Linked DNA regions of Elephas maximus indicus. Each later gene encodes a partner of the first gene's protein in a complex. Links are inferred from orthologs where the notes say so. Each region holds a gene or a part of one and is shown in the gene's direction. Other genes may lie near its edges.

Region 1 (7,382 bases):
GTTTGAAGAAGAGAGGTCCTCAGATGGAGCTCTGGAGAGCGGTCAAGGTCAGGCCCAAAACATACTCTCAAGAAGATAGCTGTAAGGGGTTCATCTCTACAACTGTTGGGTTTTGGCACAGAATTGCCTCAGATGTGCGTAAGGTAAATAGAGGCCCTTTAGGTGAAACGTGCATGGATACTTTTGGCTCCTGGTGACACAGCAAAAAAGGAGGGGGAGGAGGACCAACAACCTCCCAGTCAGCTCCAACCCAGCAGGTGCGGGAGAAAGACCCTGTGACAGGGACTCAGTCTGGCAGGCAAAATTAACCAGAAGCCAAGTGTCTGTAAGGGTCAGCAAGTCCCCAACGGGTGTGGAACATGGGGAGCCACCCCTGGCTGGTGTTTTTCTTGGATCACTGTATGGTGATTAAAAGCACAGACGCTGGAGCTCAACTATCTGGGTTCAAATCCTGACTCTGTCATTTACTTGCTGTGTAACTCTGGGCAAGTTACTTAACCTCTATGTGCCTCAGTTTCCTCCTCTGTAAAATGAGGATAATAATATAGTAGAACCCTCAAAAGCTGGAGCCTGTGTAAAGTGGAAACCTGTCAGTGAAGGAAAACTCAAATATTTTCCACTAAAAGGTGTGATGGAAAAAGTGGTAAGACTGTACCCTGTCAAAGGCAGAAAACGCATGAGACCTGGAAGAACAAGGCAGTCCTGTCATGTTCCGGCTCTCACAGGTTTCAGTGAAATACCTATCTCATAGACTTGTTACGAGGATAACATTTATAAAGTGTTTATACTGGTTCGTGGCACGCAGCAAACACAATATGGTTATTAAATTAAGAATTACAAATTTCATTCATTAATGAATATTTATTGAATAGTTACTACATGCCAAGCAGTGTTGTAGGTGGTGGGACACAGCAGTGAATAAGGCAGGCAAAAATCCCTGTCCTCGTGGAGCTTACATTCCAGCAGGGTACTGAAGACAGACAATCCACAAAATAAATTCGCAAAATATATGGCGTGTCAGACCCAAGCAGAGACATGAAAGATGCACAGGAGTTGGCAAGACTGCTCGCCTAGGGTCTGGGGCACAGTGGGACTCAGGAGATGGAAAGAGGAAGGAAGACACTGAGCAAGTGGCCGAGTGGATTCCCTGGTGGTTGCTGAACCTTTGAAGTAACAATCATCCTTATCCCCATCATATAATATCAGCAAACACTGGGATCATAGTGTAGTGGTTGAAAGCACAGACTCCAGAGCTCAACTATCTGGGTTCAAATCCTGACTCTGTCATTTACTTGCTGTGTAACCTAGGGCAAGTTACTTGGGAAGGCCCTCAATGAGATGGATTGACACAGTGGCTGCACAAAAATGGGCTCAGCCATAGCAACGACTGTGAAGATGGTGCAGGACCGGGCAGTGTTTTATTCTGTTGTACATATGGGTGCTATGAGTTGGAATCAACTCAATGGCACCTAACAACAACACAACATAATATCAGCAAACACTTAAATAGCACTTATTTCTTACCAGGCACTATTCTATTCGCGTTATGTTATGTATCTCATCTCATTTAATCCTTATAACAACCCAATGAGGTTTGTCCTATTATTAATCCCATTTTTCAAATGAGGGAACTGAGGCATAAACAGGTTAACTTGCCTAACAAAGTCATAGAGTTAGGAGGTGGTAGAACTGGGATTCAAACCCAAGTCATCTGGCTCTAGCGTTCATAGGACTGAACCTGCAGGTGGTGGGACAAGACAGGCTGCCACGCCCCAGGACCAGCCAGGGCCTGCCCTTCACACAGACTGGACTGGAAGGAATATACATACACCCTTGATACGTGTATACCCAAGACTCAATATACTTAACACACATCCAGCTTCGAGGCTGTTCAGAGGGCCTGGGAGGAGTAACTAAGGGCCATGAAATAGAGATCAGGGCTCAGCTCTGGAGAACTCTATCCTCAGACCCAAGCCCCCCAGAATACCCCTGGTCTCCCGCCCCCTCCACATGTGGCCTTAAGTCACCATCCCAAAGCCTGGTGATCCTACCCACAGACCGCAAATAACGTAATGAAAATCATAATCCTGGGAAGTTTAACAGAGGCACCAACAACTCCAGGTTGCTTCTGGGGCCTGAGAAGGCAAGTCATCAAGAGACGGAGAAACTAAGAGAGGCAGATGGGACTGCTGGGCCCCACATAACTGGAACCCATAGTAGTGGAAGCCTGCAGAGGGGCAAGCCATCAACAGTTTACAAAACCCTGTCACATCCTTCCTGGCCTCACTTGATACTGTCCAATTCTTACCTTAGGCAAGGCGGAAATTAGTAGACCAAGCTGTCAAACGGGAAACTGAGTCCCAGAGAGGAACAATGAATTATTCAAGATCACAGGCAGGACTAGGAATCAGGGATCCAAGAGCCCTTCCCCTATACCAATCAGACAGAGAGTATGAGAAAGGCAGAGGGGGGATGGGGACAGGAGGCAGGAGGCAAGTGGCAGTTAACTGAAGAGGCAAAGGCTGACCCGGAAGCCACAAGAGGAGGGAAATTCTTCTTTGTGACCTTCAGGGTATTCACGTAGCAGGGCTTGGGCTCCTGAAAAGGCCCTCTTGTGGGTTGATCAGAGCAGCAGCATCCTTGCTTTCTCATTCCCAACCCCAGGTGAGTTGGGCTCTAAAGGAAAGAGAGTGATTGAAGCCCTTCACAGAGAATCAATCGGATAGTACTTCACAGTGTTCAAGCTCATAACCATCGAAATTTAGCGCAGGGAATACCCACCAGCTCTAGTGCCAACCCATTGTACAGACGGAAGATCAAGGCCCAGAGACAAGAAATGACTTTCCAGACGTCTGTAGTAACTCGGTGATAGGAATCTAGATCTTCTGACCAGGGTATATGAGAGAGGGGCCATTCCTTCTGTTGCTTGAACCTCATATAAGCTCCCTGGGGAGAGCTCTGGGATCCAGGAAACCTGAAATCCACTCCTGGCTATCCTCAGAGCCACTGAGTAGCATTAGGCACTCCTCCAATAGAATGTAAGTTCCACCAGTGCAGGGATTTTTGTCTGTTAGTGCTTGATGTATCCCCAGCCCCTGGAGCAGTGTCTGGAACATAGTATATGCCCAGTAAATATTTGTTAAATGAATGAATGTCTACAAGGCCAGGGTTGGTAAAGTGTCATGACAGAGAGCCTGAAGCCTAAAGGAGAAAAGACCAAGAACAACGAGCTAAATCTTCAGATACGTAGAAGGCTAAAATTCTGTCAACAAATATTTATTGAGGGCCCATTCTGTTCTGGGTACTGAACCAGACTATGGGGATTCAGTTAAGGACAAGCCAGTCATGCCCCCTCCCTCCCCCCGGCCTCAAGAACTCACAGTCCACTGTAATGTTGAATGTGGGCATTTTCCTGTGGACTCCAGAGTAGAACCAGGTGGAAGGCGGGGGTGGGGGTGTAAGTGGCAGGGAAGGGAACGGTTCGATATAACGCAGACACTTTCCTCAGCCTGAGCTGCCCCGAAATGGCCTTGCTGCTTGGAAGGTGATGAGTGCAGCGGGACTGCAGTGTTCAAGCAGGGCGGCTGACCGCCCACCTGTCAGAGGCTGTGCCAGGAGTATGCGGGAGAGAAGATTCTGCTTTGGGTGAGGTCACTTTCCACCCCCAGATTCTCTGCCTACAAAGCCCTGCAATTCTCTAACGCTAAAAACTCAGATCTTATTATTCTCTGACTTTCAAGGTCCCATGATACTGACAGCTCCAAACTCTAAGTCAGCCTCTGCCCACGCCCCTGAACCCAAAAGAAATAAGAGAAATTCAGCAAGGGTCCTACCACCCACTGCCTCAAAAGGCCTCTCTGGTGGTACTCAGCGTCGCCCCCCAACTCTTGGGGGCTGTAGGGGTGTAGCTCGGTCGCGGGAGAGCCGGGGACATCGTGGGGAGGAGGGTGTCCCAGAAAAGGAGTTCATAGAGCCGGTACACGTGACACTGAAAACATCAAGTTCTGCGGTCCGCGGGGCTGAGATGGGGCCGGTCACATGACGCAGGGGGCCACCATGGGGTGATGTGAGACGAGGGGCCTCTCATATGACGTCCAAATGACGCATTCCCACCCCTTTTGGCAACTAGATTTCCGTTGGAAGATGAGACTGTTCCCGTAAAGGGACCGGGTTCTCACATCCTTGAAGTTTTGCTTCCGTTCGGGGCGCCACAGCTTCCGACTTCCTCCTCTCCCTGGGGCAAGGGAGAGACGCGTCCTTGTGCGCATGCCCCGAATCTTCCCAGCGGGGGCGGGGCTGAGGCTACGGGAGCTGGTAGGGGGGGAAGAAGAGGGAATACCAACCTGTGGAATCGGGGGGGTATCCGAGGCTGGCTCCTTCCCATTGGCTGTGGACCGTGCAAGGGACAGAGCCTCTGGCGGCTCGTGGAGGTGTTGGGGTCCGCAGGGTGAGGGAGGGGAGCGTCAGAGTGTGAGTGGGGAAGGGAGTTCCAAACTTAGATCCTTGAGGCCCTCGGGGCTCAGGCGCGGGGGAGAGGGAGCTCGGGCCGTCATGCGGGACAGGACCCACGAGCTGAGGCAGGTGAGGAGTCGGTGCAGCAGGGTTGGGAGCGGACAAACGGGGTGGATTTGGCTGGAATGCGGGACTTCTGGTCCTCGGGGCAGGGAAGGGTGGCTGATGGCAGGGAAGGAAAGACCCGGAAGCCCGTCGGTTCCGTGGGGCGAGAGCAGTAGCAAGAAAGTAGTGCCAATGACCCCGGCTCTGGCAGGGAGATGACAGCTCGGACGATGAAGACAAGGAGCGGGTCGCGCTTATGATGCACCCGGGCACGGCCTGGCTGGGGGACCCGGACGATGAGTTCTTCCAGCAGGTAAGGGGCTGCGGTCTTGGCCTAGATTTGCGAGGGGACGGGGCTGGAGAAAATGAAGAGCAGTGCGGCCTGGAGTACCCCGTGTCTCCTTTAGCTTTCGCTGTCACCCTCCCCAGGTCAGGACAATTCGGCAAACTATTGTCGAGCTGGAGAATAAAGTCCGGGAGTTGGAGAAGCAGCAGGTTACCATCCTGGCCACGCCCCTTCCCGAGGACAGTGAGTGAAACCCCGGGTGCAGAGCGCATGCTCAGTCCTAGGGGTTGTGGGGGTTGTAGTTCCATGCAGGTGGTGGCCGGGGTGGTTGGTTGAGGTAGGAACTGTTGTTTTGGGAGTTATGGTCATCTCTTGTTCAGGCATGAAGCAGGACCTGCAGAACCTGCGCGAGGAGATCAAACAGCTGGGGAGGGAAATCCGCACACAGCTGAAGGGTGAGCTCCTAGAACTTCAGATATATCCTTTCTTCTGATCCTACCTACCTGCTGGTACATCTGGGGAGTGTGGAATGTGTGGCCCAGAGAGGCTGGTGGTATATCCAGGTCACACAGTAGGCCTCTAAAACCTTGGTCTTCCAGTGTCCAGTCCAGCACACTTTCCACAGCAAACGCCTGATTTTTTCCTGTACTTTTATTTACAATGAAACCATTGACTCCTACAATTCCTCCTGCCCAGTGTGCATTCTTTGTGCAAGCAGATGGGGGTTTTATTAGGAGACCTCTGCATACCTGTGGGAATTGACTGATGCATTGTAAACCAAAAATACACTTTCTACTCTTAGAGGCTTAGAATTAATCATTTTACGCTAAATTGTATTTCCCTTAAAAAGTCTGTGGATGCAAACACCTTCCTGTTGTGTGGCTGGGGGTTGGCCCTCGCTCTGTGTCCTCATCCTCAGTCTTCAGAAGCCACAGGTCAACCCCTGCCCTTACCCTGGTGTCTTCCCACAGCAATAGAGCCCCAGAAGGAGGAAGCTGATGATAATTATAACTCAGTCAACATGAGGATGAGAAAAACCCAGGTAGGTTTCTTGTTCTGAGAACTAGGACATTCCAGCAAGTGTTTCATAGATCATTAGATGGCAGAAGTGAAAACAAAGGGCCCTTAGAGATCAAGTCCAACCTGATAATTTTCCAAATGAGGAAACTGAGGCTCAGAGAGAGAAAGGGTTCACCCAAGGTCAAGAACCCAGGTCTTCTGATTCCCAATCCATTTTAACAGTTGCTGAGTCCCCAGATATGTCCTAGGCTCAGCTGTGGGAGATATACTTTCCTGAGGTGGGGAGTTACAGGTTGAGTAGGACTTGATGACTAATGGTGCTCTGCCCAAGGAAGGAGAGGGAGAAGTCAAATGACTAGGGGTTTCCAGCCCACATGACAAGGACAAACTTGAATTTGGGAAGTCAGGAAGAGGAACTGCCCTGAGGGAAAGGTCACTGAATCAACATCTTAGTTAGGAGCTTCGAGGTGATCTGATGGGCCCCTTCTGGGTGTCCAGTGAGGACTGGTTGGGGTTGTTGGAGGTCATGGTTACAGTAGGTGAGCCCAGAGCTCAGCAAAGACCTCAGATCAAAGAAGGAGAGGTTTGGGCATCTTGAGAGCAGATGTGCCTCTGAAGAAGGAATGCAAGGAATGAACGCATTTCAGACATTGGGGGAAGACAAGGCAGGACAAAGAAGCCTCACAGAAGTCCAGAGAGGGTATTTCAGCAGGAGCCATGGTGGATATTTTTGTGAGAGGCAGAGGGCCTAGACAGACCTGTAAATCTGTACGTCAGGCTGACTGCCAGGAGTCCTGGCACACCTGTAGGCTCTAAGGAGAGAGGCCAGCAGTCAGCAAACATTCAACAACTATTTATTGAGTGCCTACTGACTTTTCTTGTTGTTTGGGTTGCAAAACAGTGAACCAAACAAAGATCCCCACTCTCATAGAGCTTACATTCTGGTGGGAACAGACAATCACCACAGTAAACATTAAATTATTTTAGAACATTGTAAGTATTAAAGAAAAAAAACAAAATAGAGCAGGAGAAGGATTGAAAGTGCTGGGAGAAGGTAGGGTTGCAATTTAAAGGTGGAGAAGGCCTCATTCAGAAGACGACATTTGAACAAATACTTAAAAGTCTTTGTGGGGAATCAGCATTCTAGGCAAGGAACAGGCCTAAGGTGCAAGTGTGCTTTGCTCAGGGAGGAATAAGGATGCCACTGTGGCTGCAGGGAGCGAGTGAGGGGACAGCAGTGGTAGGTGGTGAGGTCATTGAGGCAGTGGGGGAGGGGCAGATCATGTAGGGCCTTGTAGGTCCTGGTAAGAGCTCTAGCTTTTCCTCTTAGAGAAATGGGAGAACCTTTTCAAGCCGTCATAAGGTAGTTAAGGCACAGACACCTCACGATAGCTCATGCTGTTTGCTCACTGTACCCTCGGGGATGCTGAGGCCCAAACCAGGCAGGGATCCTCCCCAAGGTACCCAACCTATGTTCTCCACCTATAGCATGGAGTCCTGTCTCAGCAATTCGTGGAGC
Region 2 (7,441 bases), on another chromosome or scaffold:
GTGAGTATTGTCCTTGGGAAACTAAACCTATGTGTGGCACCCAGTTCGATGGGTCACTCAATTGCCCTTCTTCACTGACAGTGATTTTGGAACCAGGTGAGCTCTTTAGCCACACAAGAGGATTTGAAAGAAGGAAAAACATTAGTTGGGAAATGCATTAATGTCCTGGCTAGCAGGTTCAGAATACCAAGGTGTTAGAAAGTCCTGGGGGTGCAGCATTCATTAAGCTTCTGCTAGGGGTTTTCCCATCAAGGACCTCAGGTGCTACTCAACAGCTAAGTGAGGCTGGTGGTCATGGCCATTTTACAGGTGACATGCCACGGACCCAGCTAATATAGAGCCCCAGTTCAAACTCCATTCTGTTTGCTGCACTACACAGATAATTTGTACTCATTTCTAAGGTGCCAGGCCAAGACACAGGCAAGATTTTGAAAGATGTTTGTGTAGAAGGGAAATAATGGGCTTATAATCTGAAAACCAGAAAGAACTAAAACCAGAATCTAGCAAACAGATCAATCAAAAGCTGGTCTCAGAATCAATGGATAAAGGTGACTGGTGAAGGAAAAGAGCATTGTGAGTGACTGACACTCACTGGGTCACCAGATTGCACACGTGTCCCTAACAGGTGGCTTCTAGCAGAATGGTTTAGGATTGGCTGTCTTTATTAGAAGAGAGTATGGTATAAAAAAAAAAAAAAAGAAAAAGGGAGCTGTGTTTTCTCTAGCTGCGGCATAGACATGCAGCTTGGGGACTTGCTTGTATAGGAATTTCTAGCAAAATGCATGATGTAAAAAGGGCCCAAGGTTATGTGTGCAGATCACAGCTGCAGGCATTGGGCTTTGCTGCAGTCCTACATAGGGTGCTAACATTTGAGGATCCAAAATGCTCAAGTGGCCTGAAGAACATCAACCTGTTTCTTCAAAAGGTTTTAATCTTAAAACATCATCAAGAGTAAACAGAAAACATACAAGGTCTAGATAAAGGAAACTTTAAAATACCCTGAAGGACACAGAAGAAGACGTGAACAAATAGATAACGCCAAGCTCTTCAACAGGAGCAATCAACGTAAAACCATCAGTCCTCCTCAGTTAAATAAAACTTTAATGCCATCCCAATAAAACATACCAGTAGGGTTTCAAAAGCAAGACAAAACTAAAATTCATATGCGGGTGGGGGGGGGGAATAAAAGTTAGAGGATGCTAGAGGGAAAAAAAAAAAGGGTGTTCAGTCCTAACAAACATTAAAATATAAAACTGTAATTATGAAACCAGTATAATTTTAGTGCACGAATGAGTAGATAGGCCAATAGAACAGAATAGAAAGTCTAGAAATAGACCCAAATATGTATGTGAATTTAGTATGGCAAATGTGTCATTCATAACCAGTAAGGAAAGGATGGATTCTTCAGTAAATAGTGTTGGAACAACCAGGGAACCATCTGAAAAAAGTAAAGCTGGTTCTATACCTCACACCATAAGCCAGCATGTATTTCAAAATGGATAAAGATGTAAATGTAAAAAAGAAAAACACCATAAAAACACTATAAAGAAATGTGGAAGGGTTCCTTTAAACTCCTGTGGGTGGGGAAGGCCATTCTAACTTGGACCTCAAATTGAGGAGCCATGAATGAAAACTGAGAAAAAAAAAAAAAAATACAGCCATAGAACACCATAACCAGAAAAAAAAAAAAAAACCAAACCAAACCCATTGCCGTCGATTCTGTCTCATAGCGACCATAAGCCAAGTCAGAATTCTATAGTCAGAAAAAAAACTTGCAACTCATCTCTAGGTGCTAATCCTAATATATAAAGAGCTCCTAGAAATTGATAGGAAAAATGAGCAGACTAAAATGCAAATACAAATAGCTCTTCAACACAAGATCCTCAATCTCATTCATGATAAGAGGAATGCAAATTAAAGAATAGCATTTTCATCTAAGCAGATTGGCAAAAATCCAGCTGTTAACACAGCATGTTGGTGAGACCATGGATGGGAAAACAGGCATTTGTACCACGTTGCTGGTGGGAGTGTAAACTGATATAACTCCTGTGGAGAGCAATGTACCAGAATTTTTAAATGCATATATCATTTGACCTAGCAGTTCCATTCGTTCTGTGGCCTTAGGCAATTCATTATTCTTCTCTGTGCCTGTTTCCTCATCTTAAAATGCAGATAGTTGTACCTTACAGAGTTGTTTGGAGGGTTAAATGAGATGAATACATAGCACTTAGGACACAGTGCCTGCGACATAAGGAGTGCTCAAAAATGTCAGTATTAACAGCAGCTAATGCACATTGAGCTCTTACCATGTGCCAGGTATTGAGCCTGGTGCTTTTCATGTATTATCTCATTTAATCCCCAAACTAACCCTGTGAAGTAGGTGTTAGGCTCTGATGAGAATGAGGCACAGAGCCCTCAAGTGAGCTGTAGAACAAGATTCAAGTAGAGCAGGATTTGAGCCAGGGTGGATGCCCAAGCTTGCGTAACCCTGCCTCTCTGTTAGATGAAGTGGGATGACAACTCCTTAAGGGAGGGGTGTGCCAGTGCTATAGGAACACAGAGGGGCAAGCAAGTCCCATAGCTCTGCTTGTACAACACTACCTAAGGGCCACGTTTGAGTTTTGAGAGAAGATGTGAATTTCAGCTATGGCTCTGCTACTTTCAAGCTGGGTAACCTTGGGGCGGGTTTTTAAAATCCACTTAGTCCGTCCCCTGATCTGTAAAACAGGGTCTATTCGTTTCCTTGGGCTGCCATAACAAAATACCACAAATCAGGTGGCTTGTAAGAACAGAAAGTTATTGTCTCACAGTTCTGAAGACGAAAAGTCCGAATTCAGGGTGTCAGCAGGGCCAAGATCTGTCTGAAGGCTCTAGGGGAAGATTCTTTCTTGTCTCTCCTGGCTTTGGAGCCTTGGTGGTGCAGTGGTTCAGCGTTAAGCTGTGAACCAAAAGATTGGCAGTTTGAATCCACCAGCCGCTCCTTGGAAACCCTATGGGGCAGTTCTACTCTGTCCTCTGAGTTGGAATTGACTTGTTTCTTGGCTTGCAACTGCAGCACAGCTGTGGTCACATGGCCCTCTTCCCTCTGTCTCTGTGTCTCCTCTTTTATTAACACACCATTAGGATCCACCCTACTTTAATAAGACCTCATGGTAATCCATAACATCTGCAAAGACCTTATTTACAAAGAAGGTCACATTCACAGGTTAGAACTAGAAAGTAACTTTTTTGGGGACACAATTCAATCCGTAACACTAGGGCATTACCTATTTCAAGGGTGGTTGTAAGGATTAAGAGAAACAGGCACTCAGGTCCTCACAACTGATGCTTATTGAAGTGAGCTGGGGAAAAGTGGGTGGGATGTGGGGAGGAGAGGATGGGGAAGGAAACACTAGGAAGAGGGAACAACACATCACAAGACTACAGATTCAGACATAGCTTTAGGAATCCAGGAAGGTGCCCCACGACCTTGAGGACCAGCTAAGAAACGAGCTGTTCAACAATAAAAATAAAAGAGCCACAATTTGTTGGGGGCCTGCTTTTACATTATTTTACTTAATACATCAAAACTACTGCAGTGAGGTAGAATTAATAAATTCAATTGTACACAAAGGAGAACCACCAGAAGCTATGGAAGGGGTGTAAGCAGGGAGGTGACTTAATCAATTCTGGGTTCTAGAAATATCCGGACAGTGAGATGAGGTGACAGGAGGTGCTCAAGCCACTTGCCTTGAATTCCATACGTTAAAAATATATATATATATATATATATGTTTACCATTTTCTCTTTTACCCCACAATTTATACTCACTCTAGAAAGTGTGAAAAAGTTTAAAGGAATATTTAAAAACTTGTTAATTCCACTTCCCAGAACCCGCTAAGAGACATCCCAATTACCATTTTTCTTCCAGTCTTTTTTTTCCCTTCTATTTAAAAAGTCATTAGAGTGATTGGCGGAAGACGGGGAAAGGCCACTGTCAGCCGTTTTTGATATTCTCTTCGGCCTGGTTTTATAACAGTAAAACCAAGGGGCGAGGCTGATTTTCCCCATGTGTCGGGGTTGTTGTGTGCCGTAGAGCTGATTCCGACTCACTGCGACCCTGTGGACAGGGTGGAACTGCCCCATAGGGTTTTCAAGGAGCGGCTGGTGGATTCGAGTTGCCCACCTTTTGGTTAACAGACTGAGCTCTCATCCACTTAGCCGCCAGAATGCCTAGTTATTAGGAAACCTTTGCAAATGACTATCAAGAGCCCGCGTTAGAAGTTTCGGTGCCGACCTCTCGCTCCTGCCACACTCAAACCGGTCTTAAGGTGGCGCTGCTGCAAGACGAGGAGGGGAGGGAAAGAAGGAGGTGCGAAAACGCATCTGAACTTTGGGCACCGCCGCTGTCCGTAGTAGGCGTCCCAACATGGCGGCACCCCAAGATGTCCACGTCCGGATCTGTAACCAAGAGATTGTCAAATTCGATCTGGAGGTGAAGGCGCTTATCCAGGTACTAATTCCCAGAACCCTGCCGGGTTCCAGCCGCCCTAATCCAAGCTCCGTCGGCCTCCTGGGCGCTCGGCGGTCTCTCTCCCGAACTGTCCCCACTTGGTCAGTTCTTCGAGACTCTTGGCCCCGCCGGGTGGCCGAGTACCCCTATGTCGTACCCATTTGGTCAAGTCCTGGTAACTGTTGGCCTTGATCCTCCATCCGGGTGCCGTTGGCTTGCTCCCTTTCGGACCACTCCCATGTCGCCCGCCTCTGCCCAGCCTCCCCTTTGTGGCCTCCCCTCCCTGGCCTTGCCCCGCCTCCGACTACCTCACAACATACCTGTCACCCCGTTATTCCCCTCTTAGTGGCTGCTTGCCCCCGCCTTTGACACCCCCCCCCGCTTTCCCGCGATAGCCTCGCGGGGGGGCCATTAGCTCCGCGCCCTGCCGGGTGCCCCGTGGCACCACCTGGCATGTAGGCACCGGGTGAAATGAATGTAACGTGGACCGCAAATGAGGAAATTGAGTAAAGCGCGAATGCCTGAATCCAAAGACGGTGCAAAACTAGGACCGGGACAAGAGAAGTCTGCTCGGGGAAAGGACTTTAGGGAGTCCCTCTGTTTAGTGTATGGGGGAATTGAAGTGTTTTGCTTTAACCCATCATCAGGGCCCTTAAACTACCATTTAAGGTGAGAGGCAGTAGTGCAATAAATCAGTTGACAACAGCAAGAGTTAGGAATGTAGTTCCCTAAGTTTACCAAAAGGAAATCCAGAGTTTTAAACCTTAGTTTTTAAATTTTTTTAAATTTGTTTTTGTTCTTCAGAGTATATGCAGCAGAACATATACCAATTCAACAATTTCTACATATACAGTTCAGTGACATTGATTATTCTTTTGAGTTGTGCAACCATTCTCATCCTCTTTTTCTAAATTGTTCCTCCCCCATTGACAAACTCACTGCCCCTTAAGTTTCCTATCTAAGCTTTCAAATTGCTGTTCTCAATTTGATCCTGTAGAGATAGATCTTAAAAAGAGCACAATGTTCAAGGCAGACATTCTTTACTAAATTAAGCTAAACTGTTGTTTGGTTTAAAGAAGACTTTAGAAGATATTTTTGCTTTAAGGTTTAAAGATTAAGGGCAGTAGATTCAGTGGTTCATCCAGCCTCCATGGCTCCAGAAAGTCTATAGATTCCATGAGAATTTGAAAATCTGTTTCACATTACCCCCCTTTTGACCAGGATTTTTCTATAGAATCTTTGATCAAAATGTCCAGTAATGGTAGCTGGGCACCATCCGGTTCTTCTGGTCTCATATAATCTTAGCTTTAAGCGAGTCATTTTTGCTTCCAACAAACTGTCATTAAATGTTAGACGTAGACTCAGAATTTGCAACAAGTTATGGCAAAAAGCAAAGTTTGGAAAGTAGGACTTCTTGGGTAGAACATATGCAGAATAAACCAAATTAGCAGTTTATCATATGGTGCAAGGGTGTGTGATTTAAGGAGTAAGCCAGAGAACAAGTGAAGAAACTTGATGCAAACACTTGAACATCACATCTCATGTGTATTAAGCCACAAAACTTCTGAGACAACTCTAGAAAAATTAATTGAGAGCTCATACAAATGAAATGACCTTTTCACACAATCTAAATTGTTTAGGCCCCTTTCTCTAACATTTGGGTTCTTGTAATTGCTAATGAGAGAGATTCATAATAGCTACATTCACTGCCCACTTACTGTGTTCCAGCTGCTCTGCTCAAAGCTTTCTAAACATACATAGTCTTTGAGATAAGTAATAAGGAAACTGAGACAGAGAGAATTTAGGTAACTTTCTCAAACTTACACAACTAATAAATTGCTACAGCCAGAATTTGGATACACATAGTCTGGTTCTAGAGCCACTCTAAAACCTAGCCCCAGTAATTCTGAATGTCCAGAAACAAATTCTAAATCCCTAAATATGTCTGTAGACATTGTGATTTATAATAGATGGTTTGAAACCATTAATCTTGTATGATGACAGAAATATAAGCATCATGATTTTCAAGTTGGAAAGATCTAAAGTTATAATAAACCCTTCATACTGGTCAGGTGATGTTTTGTTACACTTTAACCAACCAGGTGCTTTCTGGTCGATTCTGACTCATGGCAACCCCATGTTTGTCAGAGTAGAACTGCGCTCCATTGGGTTTTCAATGGCCGATTTTTCAGAAGTTTGCACCACTCAGGGACTCCTGTTAAACTTTAAAAAAAAAAAAAAACGCTTATTGCCGCAGAGTCGGTTCTGACTCATAGCAACCCTACAGGACAGAGTAGAACTGCACCATAAGTTTTCCAAGGCTGTAATCTTTATGGAAACGGACTGCCACATCTTTCTCCTATGGAGTGGCCGGTGGGCTTGAACGACCAGCTTTTAGGTTAGCAACTGAGCACTTTAACCACTGTACCACCAGGGCTACTTTATTAAAATTTAAAGAAAAAAAAATTTAGGGACTAATAACTAGGTCAAGCCAGAGTTGCATTTCTTGGTTTGCTTTTATGTTATCTGTTCAACATTATTCTGAAGCGGGATGAGAAAAATGTAAATAATAATGGTTTTGGTTGTGTGGCAGAGGTCAACGAGATATTGGGATGAATGACAGTTAGTAGGCCAACCTTAGCTGTGGTCTAGGAGAACTGTCTCTCGGTACAGATGGTTTAATTTCTCCTTCTTCTCTTCAATGTGTCCTAGGATATTCGCGATTGTTCAGGACCATTAAGTGCACTTACTGAACTGAACGCTAAAGTGAAAGAGAAGTTTCAGCAGTTACGGCACAGAATACAGGTGAGTGGCTACAGAACCAAGATGTTTGATGACAGTGAAGGGGGCTCAGTCCTGAGACTAACCTCTGCATCAGTGGATGCTTCAGAGCTGTCCAGGATCTTCAGTAGTAGCTGGAGTAGTAAACCTTTAGACAGTGAGGGTGA

The links. The genes of interacting proteins can lie anywhere in the genome.
Region 2: STX4 (region 1) and BNIP1 share a complex: the UniProt entries of both Homo sapiens proteins name them as parts of the SNARE complex. The link is inferred for Elephas maximus indicus from reciprocal best matches to the Homo sapiens genes STX4 and BNIP1.

The regions. Positions count from the first base shown.
Region 1 is NC_064830.1:90,284,008-90,291,389, forward strand, and holds the start of STX4 (syntaxin-4), read left to right. Parts: upstream 1-4,311; 5' UTR 4,312-4,551; coding exon 4,552-4,581; intron 4,582-4,768; coding exon 4,769-4,870; intron 4,871-4,986; coding exon 4,987-5,086; intron 5,087-5,223; coding exon 5,224-5,298; intron 5,299-5,814; coding exon 5,815-5,885; intron 5,886-7,351; coding exon 7,352-7,382. UniProt on the Homo sapiens protein: Plasma membrane t-SNARE that mediates docking of transport vesicles. Necessary for the translocation of SLC2A4 from intracellular vesicles to the plasma membrane.
Region 2 is NC_064820.1:192,250,324-192,257,764, forward strand, and holds the start of BNIP1 (vesicle transport protein SEC20), read left to right. Parts: upstream 1-4,374; 5' UTR 4,375-4,409; coding exon 4,410-4,493; intron 4,494-7,205; coding exon 7,206-7,298; intron 7,299-7,441. UniProt on the Homo sapiens protein: As part of a SNARE complex may be involved in endoplasmic reticulum membranes fusion and be required for the maintenance of endoplasmic reticulum organization. Also plays a role in apoptosis.